Linked DNA regions of Macaca mulatta. The protein of the gene in region 1 interacts with the protein of each later gene in a pairwise test. Links are inferred from orthologs where the notes say so. Each region holds a gene or a part of one and is shown on either strand. Other genes may lie near its edges.

Region 1 (4,331 bases):
TCCCATAGAAGAGAAGACATGGCCTTGGCCCACTTTCCAGCTAACTTGAGAGAGAAACTTTGCCTCTGTGCCTCAGTTTCCCACCTGGAGGAATGGTGTGAGTCACACCTACTCTGCAGGGAAGGCATGAGAAGCCATTGAGATAATGCCTTTAAAGTGCCCGGGGTAGTATCTCTGTGCTCTCTGGGAGTAAGTGCTGAATTAGTGGCAAATGTCTTTCTTGTTATTGCTCCTATTGTGTGTTTCCTGTGTGGGACTCTGGGCTGTAAGCTCTTCATAGGCAGGCAGAAGATCTGATGCTCAAGGCTAGTTCAACTCTGCCAGGTGGTTCATGGGGACTGTGACGTGGGCCTGCCTGGCCCAGAGAACAACCCAGATACTGACACACCCTGAGTGTGTACACCGTCAATCCTCATGGGACTGGCCAGCACACGGGGCCCCCGTCCCTGCCCAGGCACCCAGTGGGACAGGCACCCTCATCCAACCAAACCCATCAGGATCTAAACTAAATTCTTCCTCCTTTTATGTTCAAATTCATATAATTATTTTTGGAATAAGTAGTACATTTAAACTTTTCAAAATTTAAGACACCAAAAAATGTGCCATTAAAAAAAAAATCTCCACCTCAGCACACAGCTCCTTAGTTCCACTCCCAGGAGACAACCAATCTAAATTCCCGTTAAAATAATCAAACTTAATTGCTTCCCCCTTACAAAAGTCATGAGCATTCAGAGCAAATGCTAACTTAAAAAACAAAAACCAAACAAAACAGAAAACCACCCTGGAACACACAAAAGTACAAGCTGAAAATCTCACCCTCAACGCCACCATCCAGAGATCCTCAGCATTTTAGACTGCTTTCAACACACATCCACCTTACAAAAAATGAAAACAATGCAAGAGGAGATTCACAATATTGATTTTTCAACATCTCACTAGAATCTCAGAAATATTTCCTCATACCTTCTTCCTTAAATGACTTTAATAGCTCTGTGATCTTCCACAGATAATGATTTATTTAAGCAGACCACAGAAATGGGCATTTGGGATTTCTACGTTTTCCTTACTAGAAGCAGCAGTGATGGATGGGCGCTGTGACTCCACTGTAACAAATTCCCAGAAGAAATGCTGGGTCACAGGATATGACCACTTTTCAATATCCTGGCCTAGACCCCTAGATACCTACCACAAACCACCCTCTAGTCAACTGCTTTCCGCGATCAGCAGGACTAGGTGTCCAACCCAAATGTAGAGCTATTTGAGAAAAGGCCAACAAGTCTTGGTTCATAAACTTCTGAACAGCAGCTGTGAGGGCCTTAATCCCACCTCCAAATCTAGACTAAGGCCAAAGGCCTCCTCTGGGCTGGCAACCTGCCTTGTTTACCCAGCCACAGCCCTCACCTGTGCCCATCCCAGTCCAAGGTGAGTCAGCTGAACAGGGGATGGGCACCACCCTTCCCAGAGCAGGAAGCCAGCTGAGACAGGGCTATCTTCCAGGGAGGGAAACAGATTCAGCAGCGGCAGTGGCTGGAGAAGGTCGTGGAGCAGCACCTGGCCTGCAGGTAAGCGCTGGGGGCCTTGACCTGATCCTGGCTGGGACTGGGATGAGTGAGACCTGCCCTCACCCTGTCTCCTTCCCTCCCTGCCCCTTCCCTTTTGGGACTTCCCAGGCAACTTCATATTGAAGTGCTTCACTCCAGGAGTCAAGTGTGAAAGTGGGGTTTCTTCTTCTGATCCTAGCCCTGGGCCAGGTTTGATTGATGGCTGAGTGATTTTCTTCACCTAGACATCATGAGGGCCCCCGGTGCCTTCTGACTGCCCATGACTGTGCTCAAGGAGATGAGACCCACACTTTGCTCCTTGAAAGGCCAATTGCAGCTGAAACCAGAGGCTGCAGGCAGGCAAAAAGCCCATTTCTCCCAAGGAATCCACAGCCCAGGCCTCCTTCTCTGGCCTGAAGCTGTTTCTATCAAAAACCTTCCTGCTACAGCACTGAAACACCTGCTGGGGAACTGTGCCAGGGGCTTCACCTTTCTAAGAACTGGCTTCTTCATCTGGAGACTGAAAATAGCCCACAAAGTCAGGAGCATGGAATGACATACTGGACACAGGAGTCAGTGCATGCCCTCCTCGGCAGGGTCTCAGAAAATGGGGCAGAAAACGAGCCTGCTATGGGCTGGGCAGGCACTGGACAGGCAGCTTCGACATATAGTGGCCCAAGCTCATGACAATTCCACCACCATCACTTCCCACCTGGGCTCCTGCTCCCACTCCTGCCCTGTAGCCCATCCTCCAAACATCAGCCAGAGGAGGCCTGTCAAAATAACCCTTGTACCTTGGCACTCTGCTGCTCCAAATCCTCCAGTGGCTCCCATCTCACTACAGTAAATGCCAGAGTCCTCACCATGGCCTCCAGGCCCTCCAGGATCTGGCCCCTGTCACTTCTCCAGCCTCCTCTCCACTACTCCTCCTTACTCCCTCTCTGCGCAACCGGCTTCTCACTGGTTAGATGCTCTCTAAACGCAACACCAACTCCCACCTAAGAGCCTCTGCAATGGCTGTACCCACTCCGTTAGGCCTTTCCTCAAATGTCACCCCACCCCGCCAGCAAGGTTTCGGAACCTCCTGACATGACCCTCCATCCTGCTGTTTCTCTCCAGTGCCTCCCACCATCTAATATAGCACACAAAGTCACAGAGCCTATTTATCCAGCTCCTCCCCCAAAGAAAGTACATTTGGGGACCAATTCTTCTTTCCTTCACTGCTGATACCTAGAACAGTACTCAGACTTAGTAGGTGCTCAATAAGTAAGTGTTGAAACAATGAATAAACAGTTAACTTTTACTGAATGCCTATTATGTGCTAGGTACTGTGCTAAATGCTTTCCATATACACCTTATCTCTTTTTAAAAATCTTTCAGTCTCCAGATAACTGTGATGCAACTATTGTTATACAGATTACAAAGGAAGAAATGACATTCAAAAGGAATTTAACTATGCTGTGCTCTCACAAGTCAGAAGCAGTCAGTCTGAACCCTGCCCTGCCTGGGCCTGGGTTCATGAGGAAGTCGCACCTTTTCTCCAGCAGGCAGTGCAGCCCCGAGAGGAGGAGCGGGGACATGCTGGTGGCCTAGCAACAGCTTCTTCTATTCCGACTCACCATATCCCTGGGCTAATTTGGCCTTCCAGGAGCTATTCCTCTGACACTCTAACCCACGCTTCCCTCCCGCACACTGTCTCGTAAAGGATGGATGAGCTGTCCACAGGAACAAGTGGGAGTCTCATCACTTCAGCTCTTTGGAACAAAGTGTTCCAGAGTGTTCTCACTCTAAGTTCAAAGATGGGGGCTGAGGTCCCCTTGTCAGCCCTGCTGATCTCCGAAGCCCAACTACTGGTTTGCTGTGGGTGTTGTTATTGCTTATAATATCAAAAAGTACAGAAGCTCAGGGATGGAAATCTGGAAAGGGCTGTGGGAGAGGAAAATTCCTCTGGGAGAGAGGGGTTAGGTGGGTTCTTTTCCTTTCAGAGAAGCCAATTACTTGTGGGAAGCCATCAGCACAGAACTGAGCAAACTTCCATTGTCAGATTATAGGAGCCAGGCAGCCTTTCAACCTAACTCGTTAGGGTCGTGGTTTCTCTCCCTTTCCAGGCCCAGGTTATTCTTCGAAAGACTTTTTACTTATTGCCTGCAAACACAGACAGGCATGGGAAGAAAGACTGTATATTTAGGATATCAGGCTTTCTCTTCTCTCTGTGCCTGCTTTTCCACTCCTTTCAGAAATAGTAATGGGACGCCTGTTGTGTGCCAGGCACTGTGCTCAGCACTGGGGGTTAACAAATGAGTGACATTTCCTGACCAGTGAGGGAGATGAGCAAACAAACACGCACAAAAGAAATCCAACCCAGGAAATGCAGAAGGCCTTGCTCACAGTAGGTGATTAATAAACACTTGTGGAATGAATGATGAAGAGGCAAATAGAAGAAATGCTGTAGTCTAGAAAAGGGAGGCTTGCTAATCTCCATGGGTACATGTGGGGGAAAGCTTTGAACTGGAGGAAGAAGAGTTCACAACAAGGAAAAGAGAGAAGGCATGAATGACACTTAAGACAGAGGGAATAGCACCTGCAAAAGCATGGAGGCATGAACTAGCAGGCTGAGTTTTAGCACTCAACCTAAAGTAGTTTGGAATAAATGAATTTCATGATGTGTGGAGAAACGACGTGGTAACAACAGAAACCTTACCAGAAGTCAGGTCACAGAAATTTGAGCGCAAGAATTAGGTATGGCTTCAGAAGGGAAAGGGAGGTGAGGATAACTCCCAGATTTCTGAC
Region 2 (4,391 bases), on another chromosome or scaffold:
TTTCTTCATCTTTTACCTCAGGAATTTCTTTAGGAACTTCCTTCTCTTCAGCTTTCACCTCTGGGTTTTCTTTAGGGGTTTCTTCTTCCTCACCCTCTAAGGGAGGCATTTCACTAGGGGTGTTATCCTGCACCTCCTCATCACTGCTGAACTCCTCATCCTCTGAATTCCATTCACATTCTTCTTCTGTAGGCTCGTATTCTGCATTGATGATTTGAAACCGCCTATCATATAGAGGCTTGTTGAGTTCAGCATATTTTCTTTCAAGATCATGAATTGCTTTTAAGAACAGGGTGTCTACCTTGTCACATTCTTCTTGAATGTTTCTAAGCGCTTGCACACGATTTCTAACTGCCTGAGGCAGCCTATCCACGAAATTTGTTCCCAAGGGGGCCCGCCGCGCCCTGCTGGAAGGCTCAGGTACCCTCTTCTTTCTATATAAGCGGCTGCGGCTGCTAGTGCTGCCGCTGCTGCTGCTGCTGCCGCTGCCGCTGCTGCTGCTGCTGCTGCCACTACTGCTGCTGCCGCTGCTGCTGCCACTAGTGCTGCTGCTAGAGCTACTGCTGTCAGATTCTTCCCCAGAATCACTAGTCGAGCTAGCCATCTCCTCTTCGGCAACCCCATGGGCGACGGGTTCCGAGACCATTTTAAAATCTGCTTCTGCCATCTTGCAAGCCTGAAAAACTCTACCGCGGAGACCGCGCGACCAGAGATGGGCAGAAAATGACTCACGGATGCTTGAGTGGCGGCGGCGGAGGCCCGGGCTGCGGAGGTGGCAGCGGCGATGGCAGCAGCGGCGCAGAGCGGAGCTGGAGCTGGGGATGCAGAGGCCGGCGCTGAGGTGGCAGCGGCAGTGGAGGCCTGGGCGACAGCGGTGGCGGCAAGGCCTCTCCCGGCTGCAGCTACACAGTGCCGAGATGTACCGCAGCCGAATGGCGCAGTATGAGACCCCGAGATCTCTTCTCGTTTTAGATCGCGAGCCCCCTCCCCTCGCAGTCAGACCTCCCGTTAATTTCGTTCCCAGTGTGCCTTTAGTTCGCTCCTCATTTGCTGGTCCACCTTAATTGACAAACCGTACGCCCAACGAACGGCCAAACGCCACTACTCCTGGCTCCGCCCACCTTCCCAGACGCTGCTCGCCGGCTGAGGTGCGACCCCCTGGAAGGTGTCCCCGAGCCCCCCAAAAAGTCTATATTTATAGTTTTATAATTAAAAGAGGAAAAAAAAGCGTAGACATGAGGTAAAAATACCAGCCATAGTTCCTAACAAGGGCAGAAGAGGCGTGTCTTCCTTCTCCCATCCGCCCATCCTGAATTCCCGTTTAGTTTGTCACGGGTCTCTTGACAAAAATCTGTAAAAGAAAAAAAAAAAAAAAATTGAATGAAAATGGTCCAAATGGCGTCATTGGGTAGTGTGACTGTGGACGATTTAAAAACAAAACGATTTTCTCTAAATATTCTATGAGCAGTATTTTTACACTGGATAAAAAAGGGGAGAGTCGGTTATTGGCAGAGGGGGGAGGGACTAGACAGCAGGCGTATTGCATTCCACGAAGCTGATTTAATAAGTGCTGTCTGTGATGTTTGGCAAGCCTGGTTTATATCCATCTACAAGGTTTGCGAACCCATGTTGCCGTGAGTCAGTTACACCATTTTTATTATATTTCTCTTTTTAGGCTGGCATATTATATACCCCAACCTTGCTGCTAACTTGCCACGTAGCCCTTCTCAATGCTTGCAACAACCTTGTAGATAAAACAATGAGTGTATTAAATGTTAGGTAGTATTGTTAAAAAGCAAATGATTTGCGTTATACTTTTGTGCAGCAGGTTTCAATTCCAAGAACAGTGGGATGGGAGGGGGAATTTGTGCTAATGAATGTGCATCTTCTGTCAGTGTATGCGATGTCATCTGCCACCAATTTCCTTCTAATGTTGTAAAATTCTAGCCATACTATAGTATGATTTACAAGTCCAGTAATATGTGAATAAACTTTTGCAAAATGAAGTTTAAAAACGGGTATTTGTTATTTTTATTTACAGGATTTTTTTTTTCTGCTACAGAACAACTACCTTGGTACAATAAAAAAGACGAGTATTTACTTTTCATTGAAAGGTAAGGATCATATTTAGCACATTTTAAAGAATGACAAAAATTACTCATCTCCATCTGAATAAAAGTTTACAGGATGCAGTCATTTAGAGATTTATTTTAGATAATAATCTTGATAATTCTATGGAAACAGGAAAATCCACAGAGGTAATTTGGCATACTAATGTAGACAATAGCCTACTTAACCACATTAACTATCTTAACCTGGTCATAGAATACAAGTTGTAAATTAAAATATGAAATATGATAAATTATTCATTTCAAATGAGGAACTGTATTAAAGTTAGATTAATCTTTATAGAATTTGTGCTTTGTCATGTAGTCACGTTTTTAAAAGTTATGAAATGCTTTTCTGTCTCATAAATGCATTTACTTTTATTGTATATCTCTAATTGTCAAAGTCTGTGAACATTGCAAAGATAAAACCTCAATACAGAAAATTCCAACAGTAGTAAAAACACACAATCTTAACCACCAAATGATAAGAATTACTAGCATTTTGATGCACTTCCTTCTAGAAATTTCCTTGTGCATATACATACCTGCCTATTTATGTATACTGCTTTATCTATGTGATACCATATTATGTTTTGTAGTCTTTTCATTTAATTTATCAGTTACTAATGGCTATATTTTCATGGCAAATGATCAACATCTTATTTTTAAATAAGTGCATATTCCATGGAAATAATTGCCTTAATTTATTTGAACAGATTCCTCTTATAGGGTGGCTATTTCTATACCATCTCTCCCCTTATATACATATTATTTTCCTGCTATAATAAAAGTGTCCCTGGATACCTAAAGCATATATTTCTATGCACTTCTGAAAATTGGTCATAAGATAAATTCCTAGAAATGAATGGCCTGGGAATGATCATTTCATATTATGGAATTATTATTGTATACATATTGCCAAACTCTCTGCAGAATGATTATCACAATTTACAGTTCCAACAGTGCATAAAGGTTCATTTTTTTTGTCATTCAGCTAATATATTTTTGTGCCTGTCGTATGCTGGGCAAATGTGGTAGAGAATTGTAGTATAATGGTGAATGAAACTTACTAAGTGCATATCCTTTCGCTGAATAATTTTAATCAAAGCATATGTTATAGAAACAATGATTTACATCAATGGTGTTATACCATAAATATTGTTCTGAGACTCACTATTTCTTTTTAAATTATGGAGATTTTACAAAAAGTATGCTCTTATGTTTTAAACTTTGTAGCATCAGGAATTAGTATTTTAGAGTGAGTCATGAGGTAGGGATCCAGATTTTTAAAATACTTATTTTTATTAGCTAGCTAATTCTTCTAGTACCATTTATTTGGTAATCTTTCTATCTCCTGCTTACTTGAAATGCTACTTTGATCACATTAAATAAATTGCTTGGGTCTGTTTCTAAATTCTTTTCTGATCCATTAGTTGCAAACAACTAATGAGTCGGTGTTAAGATAACTTTACATTTTGTGAAAATGATATGTGTTCATTGATAAAGTCAGACAATACATTGAAATACAAAGAAGAAATTAAAAGTAACTCAAAATAAAACTGAGAAGTAATCACTACTTACATTTACATTTGTAATCAACATCTCCAAATTAATTTATCAATATTAGTATTTGTATTTCTTAGATTAGTGGTAAGATTGTGTTTTCATATGTTTATGTTTATTTGAGAACTGTCTATTCATATTTTTTGTTTTCTACTGAATTAAGCAAGAAGTTAATCAATGGTGAAATCCTAAAGGTAAAATGATTTTGGCCTTGACTTACTTAAGACAACTATGATTTCTTCAGGAAATAATGCATGATATTGGGCAAATGTGACTAAATTTCATATTAAAATTGGTTGGGTTTTTTTTTTGGGGGGATGCTTGGGGGTTTTTTTGGATGCTTTTCAAGGATTACGGATAACTACTTAACCACTCACACTGATCCTGGAAAAGTTTGGAATGGAACATGGAGATGAAAAATAGAAAAAAGCTTACAAAAGCATCATATAAAAATAATGTATTAATCAACAATTGTGATTTTCAATTTGGAATTATTTTTTCCTAGATATAGGCAATGAAAATGTTGAAAGTAGATGATTTTTTCTAATCACAATTCTCTACTTTAATTGTGTATCCATAAGTATCTTGTAACACACTTTTATTTTTGTAGCTTTTTTTTGGTTGATTAGTTTATTTAATTTTATGTAGTAGGTATCTAAAATAAAATAAGCTTTTTCTTCATAATCAATTTAATTGCTGCATTATATCCTATTTGTTCTA

The links.
Region 2: the proteins of SDCBP2 (region 1) and FAM133A interact in binary tests that used the Homo sapiens proteins (3 or more experiments, as listed by UniProt). The two-hybrid records come from large-scale screens. The link is inferred for Macaca mulatta from reciprocal best matches to the Homo sapiens genes SDCBP2 and FAM133A.

What each region holds. Positions count from the first base shown.
Region 1 is NC_133415.1:82,824,042-82,828,372, forward strand, and holds the start of SDCBP2 (syntenin-2), read left to right. Parts: upstream 1-1,418; 5' UTR 1,419-1,562; intron 1,563-4,331.
Region 2 is NC_133426.1:99,944,260-99,948,650, forward strand, and holds the start of FAM133A (protein FAM133A), read left to right. Parts: upstream 1-1,530; 5' UTR 1,531-1,634; intron 1,635-2,041; 5' UTR 2,042-2,114; intron 2,115-4,391. Other genes in the region: NAP1L3 (nucleosome assembly protein 1-like 3), read right to left, coding at 1-667.